Linked DNA regions of Macaca mulatta. The protein of the gene in region 1 purifies or fractionates together with the protein of each later gene. This does not show direct contact. Links are inferred from orthologs where the notes say so. Each region holds a gene or a part of one and is shown in the gene's direction. Other genes may lie near its edges. The genes, in order: RNPS1, SREK1, ACIN1, PRPF6, PPIG, GPATCH8 and PRPF8.

Region 1 (4,254 bases):
AGGGGCTGTGGCCTCTAGGTCGGGCCTGGGGCTAGGAAGAGGGACAGAAGTCAGTGCATGAGGCCACCCAGCTCCATGTCCATGCCCACAGTCCTTCTGCAGGGCATCCTCAGACTTGTTTTCAAGCCTATGTGTTAGAGATTTAGGAATGTGTCATTTTTCTCCTGTGACACCCTAAAAAGGGGTTGGGGAGAGTGTATAGGACTGAGGGCATAGCCCGCATGAGGCACACACTTGTGAAGCCAGCGTGCATAGACAGGACACGCACAGAAGACACCATCCCCCCTGGCAGCACACTACCAGTGCCAGTAGGGGTCTTTAAGTAAGGACTGGCACAACTAGAACTCCTTAGGAAAAGGATCCGCAGCTCGGGAGGCTGCTGCGTGGGGACCAGGAGGGGCAGGTGCATTCAGGGCGTCTGTGGCAGGGGCCCAAGGCTGCACCCAAGCCTGGAGCTTGGATGACCCCAGGAGCAGCAGGAAGGGCCCATCTGGCATCCCAGGGGCACCCTCAAGGCCTCTGGAAACTCAGTGCTGGGGCTAGGTCACCAGTGACACCCTAAGGAGCCTGGGACTGAAGCCTCAGGACTCCGCCCCGCCTGATTTTTGTCTGAGCTGTGGCCGTTCCCAGCCCACGGGAGGGCAGGGGAAAAGAGCTATGGGCCCAGGGATGGGAGCTACCGGCCCATCCACGCTCCACCCTAGACCATGGGGTGGGGGGGGGCATGCATTCTCTATGGACACTGTCCCCGAACAACTGTGGCATCTGACAGAGCCGACTCCTGCCCTCCTCCCAATTCACCTTAGACCTGGGAGACGAGGTTCTGACTTCACTGCCCTGCGTAGCCTGGCACAGGGCTCCCATGAGCAGATGGCCCATGGGCCACGAGCCAGGTATCTGCACCTTCTGTCCTCCAGGCTGGCCCAGTCCAACAGGCTGGCTCAACTGACACCACACCCACAACTCAGAGAGGGGAAGACCTTGCAGTGTGGCGGGCCCAGGCCAAGCCCCTCCACTGCCATCACAGGTTTACAGCGAAGCAGGGGAGCAGGCTGGATACAGGCAGCCCAGGCCACAGGTCCGGGGACCCACACCAGGCCACAGGAATGGGCTTGCTGAGGGTATCAGAAAACCCCAGGTCACAGTGGTTTGAAAAAGAAGTTTATTTCTCAGCCGTGTAGGCAGGAGGAGGCAGTCCAGGGCTCTGTCACCTGAAGTCTCAGGGAGGCAGGCTCCATCTGCTGCCCCATCATCCTGGTTCACGCCTCCCTCCTCATGGTCACCTCTGTGTTCAAGGAAGTGCTTGGCCGGGCGTGGTAGCTCACGCCTATGTAATCCCAGCACTTTAGGAGGCTGAGGAAGGCAGATCATGAAGTCAAAAGATCGAGACCATCTTGGCTAGCATGGTGAAACTCCGTCTGTACTAAAAATACAAAAAAATTAGCCAGGCGTGGTGGCAGGCGCCTGTAGTCCCAGCTACTGGGGAGGCTGAGGCAGGAGAATGGCGTGAACCCGGAAGGCAGAACTTGCAGTGATTGGAGATTGCGCCACTGCACTGCACTCCAACCTGGGCGACAGGGTGAGACTCCGTCTCGGGGGGGGGGGGGGTGGGGGGGGAAGAAGGAAGTGCTCAAGTTCAGGGTGGGGTAGGGTGTGTGCAGTGGCCTCCGTCCAGTGTCTGTCACCTCCAGGCAGCTCCCTGCTGCGCCTGGACCCACCTGTGCCCTTGGCTCACTCCATCTTGCTGAGTTTCCCATCTCTGTCTTGCTGGCTGCTTTCAGAGACCAGGCCCAGAGTCCTCAAGACTCAGGTGACCTTGGCTACCCCTGGAATCCTGGACTAAAGATCTGCAATAAAAATGTGTCCAGCAGGGAACCATCCTGTTTGCTTTGCTTTTCTGAGTTCCTACAACAAACCAGCCAGGGTGCACTGTGGGGCATATGGACACAGGCCCTGGAGTATGGCTACTTCTGCCTGGGGGCGTCTGGGAGGCTTCCTGAGTGAGGTGGGGTCTCACCAGCTCCAGGGGACACCACTGCCGCGCACAAGGTAAGGGTGGGGGTGGAGGATCACCTCCGTGAGGACCCAGACCCCACCCACTGTGGCTGCGGTGGAGACTGCAGGTCTGTCTCAAGGCCCCAGGCCTGACACCTGCAAGAACAGAACCTAGGAGTGACAGAGGGGATTCCACCAGGCCAGCCCGGGGCTTGAACCCCAGCCAGGGCAGCTGCTGTCCACTGCCCCACCAGGTAACGCACCGACCCAGCTGCTGTTCAGCTCCCCTCCGGGCCAGCACCATGCTCATGGCATAGGCCGGCTGGGCCCTCTGAGACCCCCACTCCCACACAGACTGGTCTGCATGGAGGCTGGTGCCTGGCTGCACTAATGGCCAGAGCCCCCTGCAGACAGGCAGCTCAAGGGGAGCTCCAGAATGCAGGAAATGGCCCAGCACGGGAGTCACTTAGGCTGCCCACCCCTCAGGGAACTGAGATGTCCCTCCTTCCAGATGCCCCCCGAACCCGAACATGCTGGGCGTGCTCTGGTCACCCCACACAGGGGGCTCAGGGTGGGAGAGCTGGAGGCTGCCTGTAAGGGGCAAGGCCTCCTCCAGGAGGTAGGATGGGGTGGGGCAGGCGGGATCCCCTCCTCACCTGATGGGCCCTCGAGGCCAGGCTGCAGGCAGGCAGGAGGGGGCTGAAGCAGTGGGGTCAGGCCCGGGGAGCGGGGGCCCTGCCTTCCTTCCTCAACACACGGGGCTGCCCAGGCCCCGCTCCTGGGGCCGGGCCCACACCCCACAGACACTGGTGTCAGATGCTTCGGCTTGAAGGAGCTCCACATGGACCAGCTGCAGCTGCCCCTGGGTCCGCCTGGCCCAGGCAATACCACAGCATCACCAAGGCTCATCTAGCCATGGGCTCAGCCCCCAGGTCCTGAGAGGCACCCCAGGTGCCTCAGTCACAGTCCCAGGCAGCTCAGGTCCCAGGCGGCTCACGGTCACTATCCTTGACTTCATTGTAGCAGAAATGGAGTGCTTTGAGCTTGTGATGAGCACAGGCTCCCGATCCTGGGAGAGTCCAGACGTGCCCACTGGAGGGGCCCCAGGCCCTGATGATACCCACTCCTCAGACATGCAAACCCGGAGCCAGGGAGGCCTCAATGAACCGTATACTCTCCCAACAGACCAAGCTCACCCCACACCAGCACAAGGCCCTTTCAGACCCAGCCTGGCCACCCCAATGGACCTGGCCAGCACCTCCCCCAGTCCCACCCTCTCCAGACAGGTGCCAGGCTATGGTGACCTGCCTCTCAGCAGGCACGGCTCCTCCTCTGATGCCTCCCCCGAGGTCGAGTCATTACTCCCTCGTCCACCTGACTGGGCTGCACACGGCCTCAGTGCAGAGCCAGGTTTTAGTGGGTAAAAGGGCTCCCTTGCTGTGCTTTACCAGAGAATACAACACCCTCCCCAAAGCTCCTTCATGACCCACTGTGACCTGCAGCACCACCAAGCCCATCACCAACCCTGTGTCCCAGGCCACGAGCCTCTAAGCGCAGGCACTGCAGAAGCCACCAGGCAACAGAGGATGGAGGCAGGGAGGACATTCTGCCTTCATGAGGGCATGCCCTCAAAGACAGAGTCGCCCCAAACAGTCAGCAGGTGACCCTCAGCTCTGGGAAGGCAAGGGGAGGAGCTCAGGGCCATGGCCAGAGCCCACGAGAAGCCTGTGCCCAGCACTGCAGTGCTCTGGCCACTGCATAATGCCGTGTCCGCAAAGCCCTGCCTGCCCCCTGCAGCAAACCAGGGCCCCTGAGGCTCCAGAAGCCCCAGCTCCACTACCCTCAGCCTCCATGGCCTTAGCAGCCTGGCTCTGGGGCTGAGCTCCTGGAAGGACAGGGTGGGGGTAGGCTCCTGACTTTTATTTTCTCACGTTTCTTTCAGACATGCTTCTGCTGATCCTCAAAATGGCAAAAGCCAGGATGCTCAATTCTCAAAGCTCAACAGCTGATGGCACATTTGATGACAAAAATCAGTAATATTTAGAAACAATTTTGATTAAATTCATAAGTGCCTGAATAAATCATACTCGTCGATTTAATATAAAATGTGTGAAAGCTTATTCGCAGGCCAAATGAAATTACTGCAGAGCATTAAAAATCAGCAGGGGGAGGGCTGTCAGCCCAGCTGGTGCTGCGTCACCCCCACCCATGTCACGTGGGGTCACCAGGCTGCCCCTCCCCACCAGGTGTCAGTGGGGC
Region 2 (3,696 bases), on another chromosome or scaffold:
TTGTTTTGGCACTCAGGCTGTAAACAGGCACGTAGTCTGTTTAGTGCTATGTTCTTCGAATTGTGCTTTTTGTTGGTGATTTCACTGTTAAGATGGGCCCACAAGTGTAGTGCCAAACTGCTGTCTAGTGTTCCTAAGTACAGGAAGATTGTGAAGTGCCTCATGGAGAAAATATTAAATACATGTATTAGATAAGCTTCATTCAGGCCTGAGTTGTGGTGCTGCTGGCTGTGAGTTCAGTGTTAATGAATCGACAGTATATAACAGATAAGGTGTCTTTAAACAGAAGCACATATAAAATAAGGTTAAATATTTTATTAGTTAATGTAAATGTGACCAGAGGCTCATAGGAACTTCACCCTGTATTTTCCCTGGGAATAATGGTTCAGTATTCAATAATTCATTGTTTGTGGAAACTATAGAACATAGCTACCTCAAGTAATGAGAAACAGCCTATTTTTTAGGGTCAAGTTTAAAAGTGGCTAAAATATCCAGACAGTAAAATACATTTTGAATTACATTTAAAACTAATGTGACCTTATTTTAATAAGTCAGACATATATATGAGTTAAAGTTTGGAGTCCCTAGTCTCCTTTCATTCTTGTTGAGTTCATTCTTTTCAAGATTAGAGAATGGTAGCTTTGGATACTAATAGAAAATATGTGTTCTGTGTGTTTTTTTTCTTCTTTCGATAGCTTGGTGTTTCACTTAGCAGTTTGGGAGCTATACCAGCAGCAGCACTAGACCCCAACATTGCAACACTTGGAGAGATACCACAGCCACCACTTATGGGAAACGTGGATCCTTCCAAAATAGATGAAATTAGGAGAACGGTTTATGTTGGAAATTTGAATTCCCAGGTAACTAATTTAGGAAGAAACAAAGCAGCAGTAGCCCTTATTCTTTTTCTCTTCTTAAAAATCGTATCAGTGGATACAGTAATATTTACCTGATTTTTTAAATGGATGTATTTTATCAAAGTGTCACTTTGTTTCCTTAGACAACGACAGCTGATCAGCTACTTGAATTTTTTAAACAAGTTGGAGAAGTGAAGTTTGTACGGATGGCAGGTGATGAGACTCAGCCAACTCGGTTTGCTTTTGTGGAATTTGCAGACCAAAATTCTGTACCAAGGGCCCTTGCTTTTAATGGAGTTATGTTTGGAGACAGGCCACTGAAGTAAGAAATCCTAAACAAAGAAATTTTAATGATTTTGAAAAAATTTAAAGTATTTTTGATGTAATTAAGGCTTTTTTTTTTCTTTTTAATAGTAATTGGCAATTTGTGGAAAGGAAGACTTTGTGTTAAGTATAAATGAATACATGAGATACTTACCATTTTAGTCTTTAAATTCCTTTATTTAGAGACATTTATTTTCTCATTTTCTGTTTTCTAGGTTCTAATTCAATGTTAACATTATTTATATACCTTGCACAACAGTTGTAGGTCTTTTTCATAGACTTTAATAAGTCAGGTTAGTTTTACATTATGACTCTAGACTAATTGAGCAACTTAACATGTAGGTTGAACTATAGTACTTCCAGTAATAACTGTGGTAAATTCAAAATCTCCGGAAGGAAATTATAAGTGCCCACAAGTGTTTTAAACCAGACATTTTGACTTTTAAGGTTTGCTTACATCCTTGTTTGTAAAACGTTGATATAGCCTTCGAGATGAACTCCAGACCGGATACTCTATTTCATGCAGATTATTGAGGCAAATATAGTTTTGCTTGAATTTCATAGATTGCTTTAGTTACACAATTTGATCAGGATTTTTCTGTTAAAGGATAACTAATTGTTGTTGGTGGGTACTTGTCTTCTCAGTGTGGAAGGGGTAAAGCAAGACACATGACATCCATTCATGTGCATCAGAGAAGGCATTCTTATCTCGTAGAGGAAGAATGTGCCTTGCACATTCAAAGCTATGTCTGACTCAGCCATGGTTCAGGGTTGGTTACAATGATGTACATAATATGATAATATACAGATAGCTTTCCCTTCTTCTAGAGTGTACAGGATATCAATAAGATCTTTTGATCTGAAAATACAAATAATTCATTTTCATATTGGTATCAGCATTTTAATTTATTTTAATTCTAAGCTGTGGAAAAGCACTTAATCTTGTCTGTTTGAATTAAGTTAGCTAGGGTCCAATTTTCTTTTTCTGCCGTTTTTGGTTGTATTAGCAAGGAATGATAGGAAGTGGGGATGAGAGATTAATCGTGGTTTTGAGGTTGCTTTTGGGTATTCTGTATTTATATCATTCTCATGTGCTTCTGAGATGTCCTCAAATTTATAAATATGTGTATCATATAAATGTTTGTTTTATAAAATGTGTGTATTTGTGATATGCTAATATTTTTAATTTAGAATAAATCACTCCAACAATGCAATAGTAAAACCCCCTGAGATGACACCTCAGGCTGCAGCTAAGGAGTTAGAAGAAGTAATGAAGCGAGTACGAGAAGCTCAGTCATTTATCTCAGCAGCTATTGAACCAGGTAAGTCCATAACGTTGTTACATAGGTCATAGTTTAAAGATCATAGAATCTTAGAACTGGAAGGAATTTTAGAAATCATCTTGTTCAGTCTCTTCGTTTTACAAACAAGAAGACTGAAACTCAAGAAATAGTAAGTAGCGTACTCATGTCAAAGAAAAACTTAGCACATATTTTATTCTTTTCCGTGATACTGAATTGAGGCACTTTAGTCTGAGCTAATCAGCCCTGAATTTTCATAGCAAAATCAGTGCTCAAAAATGATTTGCTGAAAGCAAAAATGTTATTGCAAGGCTAAAAAGAGTAAATATATTTAAGATATTATGATTCGGCAGGTTTACTTTTCCTCAACATTTTAATTCTGAAAATAGAAAAGAGAGCCCGTGATTTAGAAAAAAATACAGATACTGTATTTTAGCAAGGTAAAGGAACGCCTATTCAAACTTTTGTGTTGCTAATGAAAATAATTTAAAAACCCATTCTAAAAACATCTAGGTGGTTTACATTTGAGCAGATTTTCTAAATCACCACTCGGAATTTAAGCTTCAATTCTAGCAGAATAAGTGGAGAAAGGACTTAAAATCACTGTCACAGGAATTACAGACATGTTATAATCGTACGTTACGGCAGCAACATAATATTACGAACAGCTGTTTATAATCATCTGGTTTATATGTACTGCTGCAGGGTGGCTGCACTCAACGAGTTTATGCAATGACTTTCTTGGATGTTTCTGAAGGAGGAGGATGTACAGAGAGTAGGCCCCTTGCACTATATGTGGTACATTCCACTTGTGCCTGATTATTAACTGGGATCTTTAATTGTTCTGAGCTTACACTGCAAAGTGGTTTTTTCCTCCCAGAGTCTGGAAAGAGCAATGAAAGAAAAGGCGGTCGATCTCGTTCCCATACTCGCTCAAAATCCAGGTCTAGCTCAAAATCGCATTCTAGAAGGAAAAGATCACAATCAAAGCACAGGTGAGAATTTCTGCTGTCATATTTAAATTTTATTTTAGTTTTGTATTTAAAATATTAAGAGTTTATGAGTTTTTGTCAAAATATCAGAATTTAGAAATTTTAGTAGTGTACACCTGAAGTGTGATCACCATTAAATACTGTTCTAATTGTAATTCTGTAGTTGAGAATGAAATTTTGCCTAATGATATTTAATTTTTAAATATTTGAACTTATTTTTAT
Region 3 (3,696 bases), on another chromosome or scaffold:
TAAGTCTAGCCCCAAGTCCCTGATAAAAGTCAAGAATACCATACCATAAAAATCAGCATTCATTGAGAACCAGATTTTCATTCTCAATGGCATTCTTGGGTCGCTCCCTCCTGCCCCACCCCTTGTGCCTAGCAAATCTGAATCCTTTCCTATGTAGGGTTTCATTTTGAAATTCAAAGCTTGAGACAATCTCCATCATATTTCTCTAGTCACATTTTAATGAGATACACTATGAGGTGTCTGAGACCATGTCCCATTTAGCCTTAGAGGCATTTATTCTTTCAGATACGTGAATACTCAACAACGAATGAGTTTCAAGGACTCCTATGTAATGCTTAGCAGTTTATGAATTATTCTGGGTTTTGTTGTTGTTGTTGTTTTTGAGACGGAGTCTTCCTCTGTAGTAGTCCAGGCTGGAGTGCAGTGGTACAATCTTGGCTCACTGCAACCTCCGCCTCCCAGGTCCCAGTTCAAGCAGTTCTCCTCAGCCTCCTCAGTAGCTGGGATTAGAGGCACGTGCCACCATGCCCAACTAATTTTTGTATTTTTAATAGAGATGGGATTTCATCATGTTGGCCAGGCTGGTCTTGAACTCCTGACCTCGTGATCTGCCTGCCTCGTCTCCCAAAGTGTTGGGATTACAGGCATGAGCCATCGCGCTTGACCTTGTTTATGGGTTATTCTAAGAGCGCACCCGAGGAAATGAAAGTGCCCCACACCTCAAACAGTAACAATTTTAACATTTTCCCCAATGAGGAACTCTAGATTACAAAAGTATAATAGATGTTTATAACTTAAATATCAATCTGTGGTGTGAAAATTAAAGGAAGACCAGATCCCATCATGATCTTAGTTCTTGCTTAGATGTTAGTATCACGTAGTGTTCTTGTTTCTTCTGCATTCACATGTCCTTCTCAGTTTTTCTTCCACACTACTTAAGATACTACTGTCTACTATTAAAAGTTTAAACAGCTCATCATACTAGCTACCCCTCCCTTACTGCTTTTAGATCAGTAGTTTCTATCAGGAAGGGACCTCAGCCCTTTTAGTGTTCAGTCTGAAGCCATGGTTTCCCAGTTCCCAGATATGATTTCTTTTCTTTTCTTTTCTTTTCTTTTTTAATTTTCTTTAAGACGGAGGCTTGCTCTGTTGCCAGGCTGGAGTGCAGTCAGTGGCACAATCTCGGCTCACTGCAACCTCCACCTCCCAGGTTCAAGCAATTCTCCTGCCTCAGCGCCCTGAGTAGCTGAGATTACAGGCGTGCACCACAACGCCCGGCTAATTTTTGTATTTTTAGTAGAGATGGGGTTTCACCATGTTGGTCAGGCTGGTCTCCTGACCTCATGATCCACCCGCCTCAGCCTCCCAAAGTGTTGGGATTACATGCGTGAGTCACCACACCCACACACTGATTTCTTTAACCTCCAAAACTCCAGCCAGGGGTAACCTGTAGGTATTATGGTTTGAACTAGCAGAGGTCCTGAGACCATCTAACTGTTGGGTCTATTTCTTGGGGACAGCAGCTACCAAGGGGGTGCCAGCTGGAAACAGTGACACAGAGGGGGGCCAGCCTGGTCGGAAACGACGTTGGGGAGCCAGCACAGCCACCACACAGAAGAAACCTTCCATCAGTATCACCACTGAATCACTCAAGGTGAGGTGGGAGGAGCCAGGGAAGGGAGGATGAGACCTGTTAAGGTGGGAGTAGACATGGGCCCAGTGTAACGGGGTGGGGGGTATCTGTGTCCCAGAGCCTCATCCCCGACATCAAACCCCTGGCGGGGCAGGAGGCTGTTGTGGATCTTCATGCTGATGACTCTCGCATCTCTGAGGATGAGACAGAGCGTAATGGCGATGATGGGACCCATGACAAGGGGCTGAAAATATGCCGGACAGTCACTCAGGTAAGGCTTCTGCACCCCAGTGTCGGGAGGAAGGTGGGAGCAGTAGATGCAGAGCAGCCAGCTGAGGAGCTGAGATAAAGTCTTTGGAGGGAACTTTCCTGTCTGTGCAGAGGGTTGGGTTGATTGACACTTTCAGGGGTCAGACTACCAAATCCAGCTGGCTACCTGTTATAAATAAAGTTTTATTGGAACACAACCACACCATTCACTTTTGTCTGTGGCTGTTTGTTCACTGCAACATCACCGGAGTTGAGTAGTTGCAACAGACTATGTGGCCTGCAAAACCTGAAGTACTGCTTTGCTCTACAGAAAAAATTTACCAACTCCTGCCTTAGTTTTCCTCAAGGCAAAGTTGAGGTACTAACAATCCCAGGATCTAGTAGAGGTGAGCTGGATAATGAAATACCCCTAGCGGAAGGAACATGCTAAGTTGACTGTTGCTCTCACCAGGGAACCAGAGGCTGAAAAGAATATGCCAGTTTGGTGTTTAACAGACCTGCTGTGTTCTCTTGATAGGTAGTACCTGCAGAGGGCCAGGAGAATGGGCAAAGAGAAGAAGAGGAAGAAGAGAAGGAACCTGAAGCAGAACCTCCTGTACCTCCCCAGGTGTCAGTAGAGGTGGCCTTGCCCCCACCTGCAGAGCATGAAGTAAAGAAAGGTGAGTGACGCTTTTCGTATATCATATCTTTCTCCTACATATGAAGTAAGCTACTTGAGGGCCAGATTTGACTCTGTTTAATCTTTGAATCTCCATGATGAGGTTAGCCTAGCACAGTACTTTGCAGATTATAGGTGCTCTACACGTTTAGATGAAGGAGTGGCTGCTTGGTATAAAAGAAGGGGAACCGTGATAGTTATGTTGAAAGTGAAACAAGCCAGTATTGATTCCTACCAAAAGCTGTTCTTGTGGTCTTCTTCATAGTGACTTTAGGAGATACCTTAACTCGACGTTCCATTAGCCAGCAAAAGTCCGGAGTTTCCATTACAATTGATGACCCAGTCCGAACTGCCCAGGTGCCCTCCCCACCCCGGGGCAAGATTAGCAACATTGTCCATATCTCCAATTTGGTAAGTCATTGTTTCTCACATCCCAGCTGGCTTAGTGGTTAAGTTTGAGCTTTAGGCTTACACTTCTTAGGTTCCACTCATAGTTGAACTGGTCTACCAATAGATTAAGTTACTCACTGATCTTGAGTGAGTTACTTAACCTATTTACCCATCTAAAAATGAAGGGGAAAAGCTGTCGCCCTGCAGGGTTGTTTTGAGGACTTGCAGAGGGCCTCATATACAATGTCTCAGTGCTGGGAAGCACCACCACTCTTCTCACATTCTTACTGCAAGGTTCCTAAACTCTCTGCCCTCACCCAAACCTTGAAACTATAGTCCTGTGACAGCAGCTTGGGAAATCTAAAGATTGGCTGTATGGGTGGTGGTCTTGCCTTCTTCAAGACCCTGAAAGTCTTATTTTCATTGGCAGGTCCGTCCTTTCACTTTAGGCCAGCTAAAGGAGTTGTTGGGGCGCACAGGAACCTTGGTGGAAGAGGCCTTCTGGATTGACAAGATCAAATCTCATTGCTTTGTAACGGTGAGGGGAAGAAGCTGATTCTATAGGTCATGGCATATATTTCCTTTTGTGACCAGTGTGGGCAGGTTTAAGGGTGTTGCAGCAAGTGGGAAGGGTTGCAGACACACTGTGACCCTCCATCTTCTCCCTTCCTCCACCAGTACTCAACAGTAGAGGAAGCTGTTGCCACCCGCACAGCTCTGCATGGGGTCAAATGGCCCCAGTCCA
Region 4 (4,265 bases), on another chromosome or scaffold:
CACACTAATCATACACACTAATCACACACACTAATCATACACCACTAATCACACACACTAATCACACACACTAATCACACACACTAATCATACACCACTAATCACACACACTAATCATACACACTAATCACACACACTAATCGCACACACTAATCATACACACACTAATCGCACACACTAGTCACACACACTAATCACACACACTAATCATACACACACTAATCACACACCCCACTAATCACACACACTAATCATACACCACTAATCGCACACATAGAATTCACTCACATGCTTGACAGCCGTGTTCATGTGCTGACGTGTTCCCTACAGGTCAACTACGGTTGTTTATTTCAATTAGCTCTCCAGGAGCTGAGGATGTGGCTCTCACCAGAATGTCCAAGGCATGTTGGTGGGCGTGGGTGGGGTCTCTAGTCCCACTGGAGGGACAGATGCATGAATGGAGGTTCAAGAATATGAGTGCTAGGCCAGGCGCGGTGGCTCAGGCCTGTAATCCCAGCACTTTGGGAGGTCGAGGCAGGCGGATCACGAGGTCAGGAGATCGAGACCATCCTGTGAATGGTGAAACCCCGTCTCTACTAAAAACACAAAAAATTACCCGGGTGTGGTGACGGGCGCCTGTAGTCCCAGCTACTCCGGAGGCTGAGGCTGGAGAATGGCGTGAACCCGGGAGGCGGAGCTTGCAGTGAGCCGAGATTGCGCCACTGCACTCCAGCCTGGGCAACAGAGCGAGACACCGTCTCAACAACAACAACAACAACAACAAAAAAGAATATGAGTGCTGAAAGCTTAGGGCAGCAGTGTGCGCCCAGGACGCACACGGACAGGTGTGCCCATAACCAGTACACACAAGCTCTGCACAACTGGACAGGGTACAGCTCTGCTTGGAAGTGATCAGGGCCCACCCGGGGCGAGGGCGGGCAGCTGGGCTGGTTCAGAGGGAGGGGACCACGGGTCCTATTGGCACAGACAGGTCTCCTCGGGAATGCATGAGAGCACTCGGGAAGGAGCGATGCCTCAGGCTATTTTTGGCCCCCCGGGGCCTGTTAGGGTCCCAGTGCAGGCTCGGCCTGGCTCTCCCCGCCTCGCCACGAGGAGGCGCTCCCGCGCACGCGCCTGCCACGTCCCCTCCCCTTAGCCGCGGCCGGAAGTCGTCGAACCGGCACGTCGGGGCTTCCGCCCGGGGAGTAAAAAAGTGGGCGGGGCGTGTGCGGACTGAGGGCTCTGCTTCCGGGGCGCGGGTGACGCGACGTTCGCGACACCTTCCTGCGGAGCGCCTCGGACGTCGAAGCCTGGAGTCTCTGCTGCTTCCCCTCTTCCGCTGCCTCATTCCGTTGCTTCCTAGCCTTGGTCGTCGCCGCCGCCATGAACAAGAAGAAGAAGCCGTTCCTGGGGATGCCCGCTCCGCTCGGCTACGTGCCGGGGCTGGGCCGGGGGTGAGGCCTGGAGCGGCGCGCCAGGGGCGGGGACCCGGCTAGCGGAGCGCAGTGCGCGTGTTTGGGGGCGGGGGTCTGTGGCCGCGCTGTCTAAAAGACGCTTGGTGGATCGGCTTAATCCCTGCAGGAAGCAACGGGCTTTGGGGTCAGGACATAAGTGTGTGCACCCTGCCTGCCGCCTAGATGGGACATGTTGGCTCTCAGCCCAGTGTTTTGGTCTGTAAGATGGGGAATGATGTATGCAGTCTGCAGTGAGGTGTAGAGGAATCTGATGTGTAGTGGAAACACGCGACCACCTTCCCCAGGTCAGGCTGACACACCCCCCGCCCCGCCCCGCCTTAAGCGTGCCTGGGTCCTCCTTGCCTGCAACACAGATGACCACCATACGTTGCTGGATAAGTGAGCAGTCGTTGTTACCCTATTTGGCTATTCATTTGATGAGGAAAACTACTGGGTTTTTCTTGGTGGTGGTATTATATTAGAATCTGTGGGGCACACACAAAGCTCCGATAGTGACAGCATCATCAGAGGACCAGAAGCTCACTAAGGAGGGTTTGGTATTAGCATAAATAAGCACGTAAAGAAGACCAGATTTAGAACCCAATGCTTAATGGAGAGTAGCATTGGAGTCAAGTTTAGTAGGAGAGCTGGACTTAGGGCTGCAGAAACGTGGTAGCGATAAAAGAGAAACTGACATTCTGTGTGCAGGAGTTCGGAAAAAAGTGAGGTAAGGAGGAAGCCCAGAGAACAGGAGGGAGTCCAGTGTGAGTGGAATGTGCAACCAATAGAAAAGAGCTCAGGAAGTTGGAGAGGCTTTGAGCGTCAGGCTGCAGCTCCTGGATGTATTAGAAAGACCATGACCCTTCAGAATTATTATTATTTTTTGAGACGGAGTCTTGCTCTGTATGGAGTGCGATGGCGTGATCTCAGCTCACTGCAACCTCTGCCTCCCCGGTTCAAGCAGTTTTCTGCCTCAGCCTCCTGAGTAGCTGGGATTATAGGTGCCCACCACCACACCTGGCTAATTTTTATATTTTCAGTAGAGACAGGGTTTCACCATGTTGGCCAGGGGGGTCTTGAACTCCTGACCTCATGATCCACCTGCCTCAGTCTCCCAAAGTGTTGGAATTACAGGCATGAGCCCCTGCGCCCGGCCCAGAATTTTTTAGTCAGAGCTGTGTTTTGGAAAGAATCATCTGGCAGAGCATGGGTTGAAGTAGAAGAAGGCTAAAGGCAGGGAGAGCTACCTTGGTTTCCAGCTGTGATGCGAGTCATAGTCTGGGAAGGAGGGATTTTGAAGGTGGATTCATTAGTACTTGGGGACAGACAGGATGGGGAAAGTGGGAGAGGGAGGCAAAGATTATGTCATCTGGGACAGCAGTGCTGTTATCAGCTGAAACACCCCAGAGCAGCTATAAGGTGGGTACAGAAGAGGACCTCAGTTTGGGCCAACTTGGGTTTAAGGGCCTAGTTGGATGTGGAGGGGGAGATGATGGAAACCTTAGGGTGGAGAGAGATTGCCTTGGTAACATCGTCAGGATAGGCTAAAACCTTCAGGTAAGCAGAGAAGATCGGTAGCGTTTGAGACTGCAGATCATTGTCACCAGGATCTTTGGAGGTTTCCCAGAGGTGTTAGAAAAAGAGGTGTTAGTAAGTGATGACCAGGGGTGGAGAAGAGCACAGGAACAGAGTTGTTCAGATACCGGGTGTCCTGGGGGTCTCCCGCAGCGCCACTGGCTTCACCACACGGTCAGACATCGGGCCCGCCCGTGATGCAAATGATCCCGTGGATGATCGCCACGCGCCCCCAGGCAAGAGAACTGTTGGGGACCAGATGAAGAAAAACCAGGCTGCTGACGATGACGATGAGGATCTAAATGACACCAATTACGACGAGGTGAGATGTGTCCAGCTTTCGTGGCTCCTCCAGCCAGTCTCTGGGAGCAGCTGACCTCACCATTGTGTGTTGGTGTCTGTAATGAATGGCTTGGAGTGGCTCATGCATTTAAAATTTCAGCTATTCATGGGACATCTTTACAGAGAGTGAGAGGGAGGAGGAAAAATATGAGACGAAGTTTCACTCTTGTCAGAGGAGGTGTTCTTGCAGATGTTGGGACCGCTGCCTTGGCATTTCGTGTTGGCCAGTCTTTTTTTTTTTGAGACGGAGTTTTGCTCTTGTTGGCCAGGCTGGAGTGCAGTTGTTTTTATTTATTTATTTTTTTTTTGAGACCGAGTCTGGCTCTGTCGCCCAGGCTGGAGTGCAGTGGCCGGATCTCAGCTCACTGCAAGCTCCGTCTCCCGGGTTTACGCCATTCTCCTGCCTCAGCCTCCCGAGTAGCTGGTACTACAGGCGCCCGCCACATCGCCCGGCTAGTTTTTTGTATTTTTTTGAGTAGAGACGGGGTTTCAACGTGTTAGCCAGGATGGTCTCGATCTCCTGACCTCGTGATCCGCCCATCTCGGCCTCCCAAAGTGCTGGGATTACAGACTTGAGCCACCGCGCCCGGCCTGGAGTGCAGTTGTGCGATCTCAGCTCATCGTGACCTCCGCCTCCCGGGTTCAAGCGATTTCTCTTGCCTCAGCCTCCTGAGTAGCTGGGATTACAGGCATGTGCCACCATGGCCGGCTAATTTTGTATTTTTAGTAGATACAGGGTTTCTCCATGTTGGTCAGGCTGGTCTCGAACTCCTGACTTCAGGTGATCTGCCCACCTCGGCCTCCCATAGTGTTGGGATTACAGGTCTGAGCCACCGCGCCTGGCTGCCAGTCTTTAATGATAAAAACTTAAAGTGGAATTGGTGACAGTGTTTG
Region 5 (3,188 bases), on another chromosome or scaffold:
TTTTGACCCCTGAGCCTTTAAATCCCAGATCCCACTTTGAGATTCACTGTCTAATCTTTTTTTAAATAGTAGCCAGAATTGTCATTTAAAAATGAAAGTCTGATTTTTGTGCTACTCCTTTACCATTGATCTTAGGATAAATCCAAAATTACTACGATGGCCTATGACACTTCACAAAACCTAGTCCTTGCTTACCTCATCAATGTTATCTAGTACTAGTTTCCCTTGTAATTTTTAGCTTTGGCCATATTTGGTCTGTCTTTTCTTCTTAACTCGGAAACTTCCTGTCTCAGCATCTTTTCCCTTTTCCTTTTATACACATTCTATTGTAGCTGCATATATGTTTAATATAACTAATTATATGTTCATTCACATGCTCTCCAAGTCCTGTAGACTATAAGTTCCAGGAAAGCACACTCATATATCTTGGCTCACTAATGTTCTCTCAGTATGTAGTAGAGTGTTTGGTCATCCTAAGGGTTGAATAAGTGAACATCTACACATATACTCTATTTTCTCCACAATATGAGAAATGGTTGCTTTGAAACATTAAGTATATATAACATTTAGATTGAACTTGGCAACTTATAAGTTGCTCTAGCATTACTTGGATAGGACTCTTCCATGGAGAAGACATGTATGGCTAGTGGCTAGAGTTTTTGTGATTAATGTTTCTTAACTTGGAATTTGCAACATGACAACTTAAGTTTCTCTGCCTCATTGATTTCCTACATGAAAATTGGGAAATTTTAGTAATTTTCAGGGCATAGAAATATCAGACGTTTTATTTTAACCTAGAAACATATGCTTTTTAGCTACTATTATAATGCTTTTTATGTATTTTTAAATTTTGTACCCCTTACTACCTCCTGACCCTCAAGCCCAGTACTTCCCTCTCTCCCAGCACTCATGTGAGTCCCTCTATACTTTTATACATTAATTTTTCCCCCTTTTAATTTTCTTTAGCGTTACCGAACTCCTTCCAGATCCAGATCAAGGGATCGTTTCAGACGTAGTGAGACTCCTCCACATTGGAGGCAAGAGATGCAGAGAGCTCAAAGAATGAGGGTATCAAGCGGTGAAAGATGGATCAAAGGGGATAAGTAAGATTTAACTATTATTTCAAATGTAATAAGTATTTGTTTTTACTATTATACATAAAGTTATTTTATTGTCATTTTAATTATTGCTGAATACCTTAAGAAGAGTAGAATATCATTTTAGCCAATAATATCTACAATTCTTTTTCTAATAACATTTCCCCAATCCTTTTTCTTATTTTTTAGGAGTGAGTTGAATGAAATAAAAGAAAATCAGAGAAGTCCAGTTAGAGTAAAAGAGAGAAAAATAACGGATCACAGGAATGTATCTGAGAGTCCAAACAGAAAAAATGAAAAGGAAAAGAAAGTTAAAGACCATAAATCTAACAGCAAAGAGAGAGACATCAGAAGAAATTCAGAAAAAGATGATAAATATAAAAACAAAGTGAAGAAAAGGGCCAAATCTAAAAGTAGGAGTAAGAGTAAAGAGAAATCAAAGAGTAAAGAAAGAGATTCAAAACATAATAGACATGAAGAAAAGAGGATGAGGTCACGGAGTAAAGGAAGGGATCATGAGAATGTTAAAGAAAAAGAAAAGCAGTCTGATTCTAAAGGAAAAGATCAGGAAAGGAGTAGAAGTAAAGAGAAGTCTAAACAGTTAGAATCAAAGAGTAATGAGCATGATCATAGTAAAAGTAAGGAAAAGGATAGACGTGCACAATCCAGGAGTAGAGAATGTGATATAACTAAAGGTAAACACAGTTATAATAGCAGAACAAGAGAACGAAGCAGAAGTAGGGACAGAAGCAGAAGAGTGCGATCAAGAACCCATGACAGAGATCGCAGCAGAAGCAAGGAGTACCATAGATACAGAGAACAGGAATACAGGAGAAGAGGACGGTCACGAAGCCGAGAGAGAAGAATGACACCAGGAAGATCAAGAAGTAAAGATAGGAGGAGAAGGAGGAGAGACTCACGGAGCTCAGAGAGAGAAGAAAGTCAAAGCAGAAACAAAGAAAAATACAGAAACCAAGAAAGTAAGAGCTCACACAGAAAAGAAAATTCTGAGAGTGAGAAAAGAATGTACTCTAAAAGTCATGATCATAATAGCTCAAATAATAGCAGGGAAAAAAAGGCTGATAGAGATCAAAGTCCCTTCTCAAAAATAAAACAAAACAGTCAGGACAATGAATTAAAGTCCTCTACATTGAAAAATAAGGAGGATGAGAAGATCAGATCCTCAGTGGAAAAAGAAAACCAAAAATCAAAGGGTCAAGAAAATGACCATGTACATGAAAAAAATAAAAAATTTGATCATGAATCAAGCCCTGGAACAGATGAAGACAAAAGTGGATGAGTGAGTGATATAAACTTCCATTCTGTTTCGAATTTTAAGTTTGAGAGACTTGCTAATGAATCTCCTTTATGTTGTTTTCCTTTTCATTGTTTTTGGGTTGTTTTATGTTTGTCCTTTTTTCTTAATGTGGATTTCATTGAGTTGATCTTTTGATAATCTGCAATGTGGATAATTTGTACTGCTAAAGTTTTAATAAACTTGAAATGAGAAAAACACTTTGGTGTAGTATTGTGTGCTGTGTTTAACTATTTTATGTATGCATTACTGTGTTGCAACAATTAGCCAATAGCATCCTAATTTGTTTAGTCAGCCATTTGGAATGGTTGCAATGCATTGTTACAAAAGCTTGTGTTTCTCATGATTAAAGTAACTTTAGAAGCCACTAGAAGACATCTTGTATAGATTTTCTGATTGCATTAATAATAGAGGTTTGCAGCGGTTTCTTTTAATTACACAGAAGCAGGGTCCTAATAACCTGAGATCTTAAGTCATAACTTTTGATTTTATAGTAATTTGTGCTTTAAATAGATGTTTAGTTATTTATATTGCACTTCATACTCTATTCTTTATAGTTTGAGCCATAGCTTGTTTCCTATTAATGCTTTTCCTGTCTAGTTGTGTTTTACTTAACTGCCTATAAAAATCATAAGAGTAATTTTTTTCCGTTGATGTACTGATTGAGCTTGAGTTGCTGTTATACAGCATTTGACAGGAACTATACCTTGGAAAATCAGATTGTGATTCTCAATTCTGTGTTGCTTTTGGTTTGAAGAGTTTTGGGAACGTTTTAA
Region 6 (4,315 bases), on another chromosome or scaffold:
CCAGCTACTCGGGAGGCTGAGGCAGGAGAATGGCGTGAACCCGGGAGGCGGAGCTTGCAGTGAGCTGAGATCACGCCACTGCACTGCAGCCTGGGTGACAGAGTGAGACTCCGTCTCAAAAAACAAACAAACAAACAAACAAAAAGCTGGGCTTGGTGGCGGGCGCCTGTAATTCCAGCTACTATGGAGGCTGAGGCAGGAGAATCTCTTGAATCTGGGAGGCGGAGGTTGCAGTGAGCCAAGATGGCGCCACTGTACTCTGGCAATAGTGCAAGACTCCGTCTCAAAAAAAAAAAAAAAAACCCCACAATGTTTGAATTCTGTGTGCCCTGCCTCCCCTTAGGTGGAAGTGTAGGCTGAAGCATGGGTGAGGCAAAGGGTAACAACTAGAAAATACATATCCTTCCTCAAAAAATTACATTCCATTTGACTCTTTCAGGGCAAGGTAAGAGCCATTTTTCCATTGTGTGATTTCTGTCAACTACTCTTTTCAAAAGGAGGAAGTCCTACCACCCTTCTATGTGTTTATGTATTTTGGCTAAGAGTGCTGGAGCGCTGGGTGAGGTCCTCAAAAGGGATGGAAAAATCTGAATCTTAACTCACAGTCAGCGCTAGACAGGAGCAGCAGAGATTACTGAATCCAGCTTCCTTATTGTATAAAAAGGAAACTGAAGCCCAGAGAGCTTTAGTCGATTTGGATCAACTTCGGTCCCTTGAGAAATACTTTTCTCAAAGGATGGCTAGATATCAAGCTCCTTGCAGTCTTTGGGCCTTTGGGTCTAATGTTCCCTATGCCCCAATGCTGTGGGCTCCTCGCTGTGCCTCGGGTCAAAGGTCCCTTCAGAGACTGTCCCTCTCAGCACTGCGGCCAGTTTTACTTTTTTGTGGCACTTATTGATATTTAAAAATATTTATTCTACGAGTTATGTGACTTCTTCCACTGGAATGAAATCCCCATAAGAGACCATTCCTGTCTCGTTCACCGTTGAATCCTCAGGGTGAGCTGAGATTCGAAACAAAGTAGTATGGCTCTAAAGTCGCGCTTTAGGCCCAACATTATGCTTCCAAAAATTTAGTAAAGACGATGGACTTCTGCGCACACGGGGAAGCGACAGTGAGAAAAGATACCCGGAAGTGAGCCACAGCAAAACATCCAGACTCGTCCGCACGGTGCCCCTTCTGACCTTTCCCTCCGGAAGCTTTCGCGGCTCTTGGGCGGGAGTGCGCACGCGCGGCCACCGGGGTCGCTCCGGGTCGCGCGCGGAGCAGGGGCTGGAGGGAAGGGTCAGCCTCCAGGGCTGGCAGGCGCCTGCGCTGCGGGGCTCCAGTCAGGACGCGCATTCTCGCTCCCTCCCTCGGCTGCGCGCGCCCGGTGGGCGTGGGAGGAGGCGGGGAACCGGGGAGGGGCGGGTGTCGCAGGAGGGAAGGAGCGAACCGGAGAGCGTCGTCCTGAGAGGAGTGAAGGCGGCAAAATGGCGGACCGCTTCTCCCGCTTCAACGAGGACCGAGACTTTCAGGTAAACACGGGCGTCGCCGAGGATGCGGGGAAGGCGCTGGTCTAGCCCAGAATGTCCTTCATCTCCGGCTCCCAGCCCTCTTTCCTTCCAGGTTTTGCTCCGACTTGCGAATTGGCTCTCTCTTCTCCCGTCTCTGCTTTCTCAAGAGGCCTCCCGGCTTGAGGGAGGCCGCATCTCCTCTCACGCGCATTCTCTACCCCTGAAACTCAGGCCGCGGGGCTTGCGGCTTCCGCCTGTTTGGCGTCGGATTTGGGAACCGGGCCTGGGAGCTCTGTGGGGGGCTGTGCCCTCCGGGTCTGCCCGGCCTGTGCCGGCAAAGGGCTGGCTCCCAGGGGACCAGAGGGGTGGTTGGGTTGGGCTGGGAGGACTTGGGGGCGAGTGTTGCTGAGGCCAAGGCTTCCGAACCCCGGGATTTTGCTCTCACGGATCCTTTTGGGGTCCTTCTCTTTTCTTTTTTCACTGTGATGAATCAGTTGCTTTCATTGTCTGTTTTTCCTTTTCCTTACCTGGGAAAAGGTTGCATTCGTTATCAGACGCCTTATTGGTTAGTCATACATTAAGATTTCCCGGGACATAAGTGTTGCTGCTGTTATTAGGCTGTTAATTGGGCTTGGAAAACAGTAAGTTACTGGACTATGATCCGATGTGAGCCTAACCTCAAATCCTATCTCGAAAGATTTGTAAGAAGCGTAATGATAATGGACCTTCCACGCGTGGGGTCACTAGTGCCAAAAGCTTGATTTTTCTTTTTTCAATTGCAAATGTTGGTATGGTAAAATGCCCTTACGATGGCAAGCTCTATTGAGTAAAAAATAAAGGCCAAATTAGAATAACTCGTTTTTTCGTTGTTGAAAATACCTTGCTGTTGAAATTGTTACCGCGGAAATCTCGACGACTAAAAGGGATTTAGTAGAGATTGGCTATTTCTAGGTAAAATACATCCGTAGAGTCTCAAAAAAAACCTCTGCATTACTACCGCATATCCTGGCAACTGCAATTTGGGTCAGGGGATGAATCTCAGAACTCAAGTTTTTATCCGGCTGCAGATCCTACTCAAAGCAATAGGAAAGCACTCTAGGTGTGTTTCAGAATGCAGTTTAAAGAGTTTGAATTCCCTGAGATGATAGGACTGGTAAATAAATAGATAAAGCAGTTTAACAATTTTAACTCAGCACTGTTAACAAGGTAGTACATAGAACGCTTATGAGAAGTTTTGCAGCAGTAAGGGATCTGGGGGCTGTTAAAGCCTTGTGATCATGCGCTTGCTGTATAGCTGCAGCACAATACAGAAGAATCTCAAGGTGTTCTAAGGATATAATGCAGATTCACCAAAGTTTGAAGCAGTTCATATTAGCCTTTTGATCCCTGAGAAATATATGTATATTTTAGCAAGCACTATAAAATATGAGTAGGCTGCAAGGTGTATGATGAGCTTTATTGATTTTTAAATTACCAATAGAGACCTATTGATAACTAAAGCCCGCAAATGCTTTTCAGAGGAGAGAATCTCAAGGTGACCTAATAAAATCGAAAATAGATAATATGGACAATTAAATTTTGAGGAAAGATGACTGTCAACCACAGAATTCCAGCAGGCTTAACAAACAGGATTTTCGGGGCCTTTAATGAAGATTTTGAAAATTGTGGATAGCAGAGTGTGAATGCTGTTTCCTGAAAAAAATTGAGGGGGTTAGCCTCTACTTTTTCAATACTCAGTTTCTAAGTAAGATGACCCTCTCTTTTGATGCTTTAGTTGGGTATTGCAAAACCTGATTTTGGTTTCATGGTAGTCCTTTGAAGATGATATGTATAGTTCATTTTCTGCTTCTATGTTGAAAGAACCAACCCGTTAAGTTGGGTCAGCCAGGAAGATGTTGGGGTTTTTTTTGTTTGTTTGTTTTTGAGACGGAATCTCACTCTGTCGCCCAGGCTGGAGTGCAGTGGCACCATCTCGGCTTACTGCAACCTTCCCCTCCCGGGTTCAAGCGATTCTTCTGACTCAGACTGCCGAGCAGCTGAGACTACAGGCGCCTGTCACCACACCCGGCTTATTTTTGTATTTTTAGTAGAGATGGGGTTTCACCGTCTTGGCCAGGCTGGTCTCGAACTCCTGACCTCGTCATCCGCCTGCCTCGGCCTCCCAAAGTGCTGGGACTGCAGGTGTGAGCCACCGCACCCGGCCGAAAATGTTGGTTTTTAAAATTCAGATGTCCTAGCATTTTGGGTAAATAAGGTATTGGGAATGGAAACCTTTTTAGACAGTTGGAAGATGTTAAAACTTTTATAAATTATGTTAATTTATAACATTCATTTAAAGTACTTTTATTTAAAAATGAAGTGGTATTTTTCTGTGTGTTTTAATAAAGGGAAAAATACAGATTGTCTTTCACTTAATGATGTCTTTTGATTCAAAGTTATTGGTGAGAGAATGTAATGTAATAGGATTCTCCTGTGAATAATGTATCTGAAACATTTTCGGCTTCAGGTTATTCAAAATTAAACGTGGCCTCCTTAAAAGGTTTTGGGTGAAGCCACTGACTATACTTGAAAACAAATCATAGTAAGTTTCCAAACACAATGGATAGATCTTGTTGCTTTCAACAGATCTTGTAGCACTGGAAATTTTTCTGTTCATCTTCTCTGGTAAGTTCGAGATGACTGTTATTTTCTTTGCCTTTAATTTGGCAGGATGATTTAAAGCTGTAGAGCTTCACTCTCTACCAGTTTATCAAGTGCAAATTTTAGAGAGTTTGATGTCTCTTGAAATTATTATGGAGTCAGGGAGTTGGGCTGAGTAT
Region 7 (4,350 bases), on another chromosome or scaffold:
AGTGAAACGCTGTCTCTACTAAAAATACAAAATTTAGCTAGCAGTAGTGGCACCTGCCTGTAATCCAGCTACTCTGGAGGCTGAGGCAGGGAAATCGCTTGAGCCTGGGAGGTGGAGGTTGTGGTGAACTGAGATCGCACCATTGCACTCCAGTCTGGGCAACAGAGTGAGACCCTGTCTAAAAAAGAAAACAAAAGGAATTGTTTTAAAATTTTTACCGTTCTGAAAGCACATTGACATCCTTTGCATTTTTTTTTCTAATTATTTCACTTTGATTTGTAAATTCTCAACTAGATTGAGGGGCTGTATGGGTTACAATTCCTCTGCATCCTCCCCAATAAACTTGGTGGGAATTTCAGACTTTTTGTTTGTTTGTTTTTTCCGAGACGGAGTCTCGCTCTGTAACCCAGGCTGGAGTTCAGTGGCGCGATCTCGGCTCACTGCAACCTCCGCCTCCCGGGTTCAAGCGATTCTCCTGTCTCAGCCTCCCGAGTAGCTGGAACTACAGGTGCATGCCACCACGCCCAGCTAATTTTTGTACTTTTAGTAGAGACGCGGTTTCACCATGTTGGCCAGGCTGGCCTTGGACTCCTGGCCTTAAGCGATCCGCCCGCCTCAACCTCCCAAAAGGCTGCGATTCCAGGCGTGAGCTACCGCCCCCCCCCCCCCCCAATGAGCTTGATTCTTTCTGCTCCCCTGTGAACCCTACTGGTTGTCTTTTTTCCTGCTTTATCCCTCGTCCTCGGTAGACAGTGGGCACTCAATAAAGAATGGTTAAATGAATGAATGCGGCCGGGCGCGGTGGCTCAAGCCTGTAATCCCAGCACTTTGGGAGGCCGAGACGGGCGGATCACGAGGTCAGGAGATCGAGACCATCCTGGCTAACACGGTGAAACCCCGTCTCTACTAAAAAATACAAAAAACTAGCCGGGCGAGGCGGCGGGCGCCTGTAGTCCCAGCTACTTGGGAGGCTGAGGCAGGAGAATGGCGTGAACCCGGGAGGCGGAGCTTGCAGTGAGCTGAGATCCGGCCACTGCACTCCAGCCTGGGCGACAGAGTGAGACTCCGTCTCAAAAAAAAAAAAAAAAAAAAAAAAAAAAAAAAAAGAATGAATGCATGAACAAATGACCGTCCTGGAGCTAGTACTGCATTGCACGTATACATTGATGACAACAGACATCGTACAATGCGCAATCTTGGCAAATTTATTAAAAGCTTCCAGACTTCGGTCTCTCGCAGGGCGACGCCGGGAGCCTATCACACACTGAGGTCTGTCGGGGGCCTCAGGAACAGCCTCGGAAACGTGGGAGGCGGGGCTTCCCCGACCACACCCCCTTGTATTCAAAGCCTTTCCGCCTGTGGGCCCGCCTCCTCGGCGCAGTGTGCCACTCTAATTGGCCATCTTACCAATCCATCTGAGCACCTCGGCGCCGATTGGATCAACTGCTGAAGTCGGGTTGCGCACTTTCCGGCGCTGGGAACGCGGAGCGGACGCACACTGGCCGCCATTGCGCTCCGGAGAAAGCGGCCCCCTGTGTGAGGGGTTGTGGGGTGCGTGGCAGGCGTTTAAGGCCGGGCTGCGGGAGGCGTGGTCGGGTCGGGCTGAGTGACCGAAGGGGTTAGGCCGGGCGGGGCTGGATGCACTCAGTGTGGCGGGATTGCAGGCCCGGGTCCCCGGACGCCTTTCTGCTGCGCTTCTTGTGGGCCCGGGCCTGTGGTTAGTGAATTTTTCTGTCCCGCCGCTGTCCAGATTCTCCGGGTATGGCCGGAGTATTTCCTTACCGAGGGCCGGGTAACCCGGTGCCCGGCCCTCTAGCCCCGCTACCGGACTACATGTCGGAGGAGAAGCTGCAGGAGAAAGGTGAGTCGAGTGTGGAGCGGCGCGCGAGCCGGAGGCGGGGCGGGTGTTCGCGCGCGCAGGTGGCTGGGGACCCTCCCCGTTTGGGCAGCTCCCGAGGTGACAACTCCCTTGTTAGCCCCATTTAACTTTTTATCAAGTCATTTTAAGCGCGTGTTATCTGCAAGCGCTGATCCAGTAGTGATGGAGACAAAATTCCTGTCCTTACGGGGTTTAAATTACAGCGGGAGAGAAAGACAGTAACAAAACCTTGAGGATCTGTAATAAAAATGTCAGGCCGGGCGCAGTGGCTCACACCTGTGATCCCAGCACTTTGGGAGACCCAGGCGGGCGGATCACCTGAGGTCAGGAGTTCGAGACCAGCCTGGCCAACATTGTGAAACCCCATCTCTACTAAAAATACAAAAATTAGTCGTGTGTGGTGGCGCGTGTCTATAATCCCAGCTACTGGGGAGGCTGAGGCAGGAGAATGGCTTGAACCCGGGAGGCGGAGGTTGTAGTGAGCCGAGATCGCTCCATTGCCCTCCAACCTGGGTAACAGAGCAAAACAACGTCTCAAAAAAAAAAAAAAAAAAGTCAGATAGTAATAAATGTGATGAAGGGAAAAACATAGTAAAGTGGTAAGGGAATTGGCAAGGAGTGTTGCTTCCTGCTGGATGCCTGCTCCTCTGTCACACTCACTGACAGGAGCTTACCCTAGGGCAAGAGGTGAAGAGGATTAGGCTGAGGGTGTGCAGTCCTTTAAACTGAGGTGCCTTTGTAGCCCGAAAATGGCAGCAATTGCAGGCGAAGCGCTATGCAGAAAAGCGGAAGTTTGGGTTTGTGGATGCCCAGAAGGAAGACATGCCCCCGGAACATGTCAGGAAGATCATTCGAGACCATGGAGACATGACCAACAGAAAGTTCCGCCATGACAAAAGGGTTTACTTGGGGTAAGGAACATCCTGAAATAACTTCATTTGGAATTTGGTTCTTTTCCCTTTTCCCTGTCCCACAGTCTTGGATAGATGCTCTGTCATTTTGGAACAGGACGCTGCTTTGACAGCTCATCTTGGTGGATATAAGAGAAAGGAGAAAACCAGTAGGAGTCTCTGATAATTTCTACATCTTCCACTTACGCAGTCTGTTTCCCTTCTGTTCCTGATCTGGGCCTGGGACTTTAATTTGTCCTGTTGATGCTGTTATAAGATATCCCTGTCGTTGAGCTGTTTGAAGCCCAGAGTGGGAGACTGTGCATAGTGGCAGCCTGTCACTCCTCAGGGACCTGAATTCTGTGTTTAGGGTATTTAATTTCAGAGGTATCCCTACTGCTGTTTTTCTGTGGCTGTAAACTGGGTGGGTACAGGTACAGATGTCTTAGCAGATTCCTGCTCTATTTGGACACAAAAACGTTTGCCGTGTAATGAACTGGAAGTTTTGTTTATTTCAAAAAATAGTTTGAGAACTGTGCTGGCTGCTTGGGGTATAGTAGCGAGCAGAGGGTAACAATCTCCGCCTTTCTGCAGTGTGCAGTCTAGTGGCATGACAGACATGAGACAACTGGTGATAGTGAAGTATGGTGAATACTTTATTATGATTTATGAGAAGATACTGAGGGAATAGGATGTGAGACAGCCGCAAAGCTGTCTCCAGAGGGACAGCTGTTGATTTAGAGGAGCTGATACCAGCATTGTGGGACTATGACATTTAAGAAGAGTGCTGAGGCTGGGCGCGGTGGCTCAAGCCTGTAATCCCAGCACTTTGGGAGGCCGAGACGGGCGGATCACGAGGTCAGGAGATCAAGACCATCCTGGCTAACACGGTGAAACCCCGTCTCTACTAAAAAATACAAAAAAAAAAAACTAGCCGGGCGAGGTGGCAGGCGCCTGTAGTCCCAGCTACTCGGGAGGCTGAGGCAGGAGAATGGTGTAAACTCGGGCGGCGGAGCTTGCAGTGAGCTGAGATCCGGCCACTGCACTCCAGCTTGGGCGACAGAGCGAGACTCCGTCTCAAAAAAAAAAAAAAAAAAAGAAGAGTGCTGCAAGATGAAGTTGTAGAGGGAGAGGCAGGGTTTCTGGTTAGGAAGGGCCTATGGGCTAAGTCTGGGAGTTTGGATTGTAAGGTAGGATTTACTGTGGAACATGAACGTGTGGCTTCTCTGCATGGGACAGGTAGCAGAACACCTCGTCATTTCTAATAGCCTTCTCTTTTTCTAATGTGCCAGTGCCCTAAAGTACATGCCCCACGCAGTCCTCAAACTCCTGGAGAACATGCCTATGCCTTGGGAGCAGATTCGGGATGTGCCTGTGCTGTACCACATCACTGGAGCCATTTCCTTCGTCAATGAGATTCCCTGGGTTATTGAACCTGTCTACATCTCCCAGTGGGGGTGAGAAAGGCTGAAATATGGTGGGCAGTGGTGGTGGTGGTTGGGGGCAGTGGGTAGAAATGGTTGTGTGATGTTCTTGCCTTCTAGGTCAATGTGGATTATGATGCGCCGAGAAAAAAGAGAT

Evidence for each region.
Region 2: the proteins of RNPS1 (region 1) and SREK1 purify together in Homo sapiens (affinity purification with mass spectrometry; 3 studies listed by BioGRID and IntAct, counting the BioPlex papers as one, with this or other methods). This does not show direct contact. The link is inferred for Macaca mulatta from reciprocal best matches to the Homo sapiens genes RNPS1 and SREK1.
Region 3: the proteins of RNPS1 (region 1) and ACIN1 purify together in Homo sapiens (affinity purification with mass spectrometry; 6 studies listed by BioGRID and IntAct, with this or other methods). This does not show direct contact. The link is inferred for Macaca mulatta from reciprocal best matches to the Homo sapiens genes RNPS1 and ACIN1.
Region 4: the proteins of RNPS1 (region 1) and PRPF6 purify together in Homo sapiens (co-immunoprecipitation; 3 studies listed by BioGRID and IntAct, with this or other methods). This does not show direct contact. The link is inferred for Macaca mulatta from reciprocal best matches to the Homo sapiens genes RNPS1 and PRPF6.
Region 5: the proteins of RNPS1 (region 1) and PPIG purify together in Homo sapiens (co-immunoprecipitation; 3 studies listed by BioGRID and IntAct, with this or other methods). This does not show direct contact. The link is inferred for Macaca mulatta from reciprocal best matches to the Homo sapiens genes RNPS1 and PPIG.
Region 6: the proteins of RNPS1 (region 1) and GPATCH8 purify together in Homo sapiens (co-immunoprecipitation; 4 studies listed by BioGRID and IntAct, with this or other methods). This does not show direct contact. The link is inferred for Macaca mulatta from reciprocal best matches to the Homo sapiens genes RNPS1 and GPATCH8.
Region 7: the proteins of RNPS1 (region 1) and PRPF8 purify together in Homo sapiens (affinity purification with mass spectrometry; 3 studies listed by BioGRID and IntAct, with this or other methods). This does not show direct contact. The link is inferred for Macaca mulatta from reciprocal best matches to the Homo sapiens genes RNPS1 and PRPF8.

Annotation. Positions count from the first base shown.
Region 1 is NC_133425.1:3,508,659-3,512,912, reverse strand, and holds the start of RNPS1 (RNA-binding protein with serine-rich domain 1), read left to right. Parts: upstream 1-1,344; 5' UTR 1,345-1,374; intron 1,375-2,702; exon of another isoform or gene 2,703-2,796; intron 2,797-4,254. UniProt on the Homo sapiens protein: Part of pre- and post-splicing multiprotein mRNP complexes. Auxiliary component of the splicing-dependent multiprotein exon junction complex (EJC) deposited at splice junction on mRNAs.
Region 2 is NC_133411.1:74,276,524-74,280,219, forward strand, and holds part of SREK1 (splicing regulatory glutamine/lysine-rich protein 1), read left to right. Parts: intron 1-695; coding exon 696-860; intron 861-1,000; coding exon 1,001-1,179; intron 1,180-2,372; coding exon 2,373-2,503; intron 2,504-3,362; coding exon 3,363-3,477; intron 3,478-3,696. UniProt on the Homo sapiens protein: Participates in the regulation of alternative splicing by modulating the activity of other splice facors. Inhibits the splicing activity of SFRS1, SFRS2 and SFRS6. Augments the splicing activity of SFRS3.
Region 3 is NC_133412.1:96,155,308-96,159,003, reverse strand, and holds part of ACIN1 (apoptotic chromatin condensation inducer in the nucleus), read left to right. Parts: intron 1-1,520; coding exon of another isoform or gene 1,521-1,523; coding exon 1,524-1,654; intron 1,655-1,751; coding exon 1,752-1,904; intron 1,905-2,420; coding exon 2,421-2,562; intron 2,563-2,622; exon of another isoform or gene 2,623-2,826; coding exon 2,827-2,972; exon of another isoform or gene 2,973-3,381; coding exon 3,382-3,489; exon of another isoform or gene 3,490-3,629; coding exon 3,630-3,696.
Region 4 is NC_133415.1:116,866,546-116,870,810, forward strand, and holds the start of PRPF6 (pre-mRNA-processing factor 6), read left to right. Parts: upstream 1-1,269; 5' UTR 1,270-1,383; coding exon 1,384-1,454; intron 1,455-3,182; coding exon 3,183-3,351; intron 3,352-4,265. UniProt on the Homo sapiens protein: Involved in pre-mRNA splicing as component of the U4/U6-U5 tri-snRNP complex, one of the building blocks of the spliceosome.
Region 5 is NC_133417.1:74,548,376-74,551,563, forward strand, and holds the end of PPIG (peptidyl-prolyl cis-trans isomerase G), read left to right. Parts: intron 1-966; coding exon 967-1,103; intron 1,104-1,286; coding exon 1,287-2,397; 3' UTR 2,398-2,599; downstream 2,600-3,188. UniProt on the Homo sapiens protein: PPIase that catalyzes the cis-trans isomerization of proline imidic peptide bonds in oligopeptides and may therefore assist protein folding. May be implicated in the folding, transport, and assembly of proteins.
Region 6 is NC_133421.1:68,877,441-68,881,755, reverse strand, and holds the start of GPATCH8 (G patch domain-containing protein 8), read left to right. Parts: upstream 1-1,446; 5' UTR 1,447-1,472; coding exon 1,473-1,517; intron 1,518-4,315.
Region 7 is NC_133421.1:3,240,420-3,244,769, reverse strand, and holds the start of PRPF8 (pre-mRNA-processing-splicing factor 8), read left to right. Parts: upstream 1-1,479; 5' UTR 1,480-1,551; intron 1,552-1,750; 5' UTR 1,751-1,761; coding exon 1,762-1,861; intron 1,862-2,621; coding exon 2,622-2,790; intron 2,791-4,061; coding exon 4,062-4,226; intron 4,227-4,313; coding exon 4,314-4,350. UniProt on the Homo sapiens protein: Plays a role in pre-mRNA splicing as core component of precatalytic, catalytic and postcatalytic spliceosomal complexes, both of the predominant U2-type spliceosome and the minor U12-type spliceosome.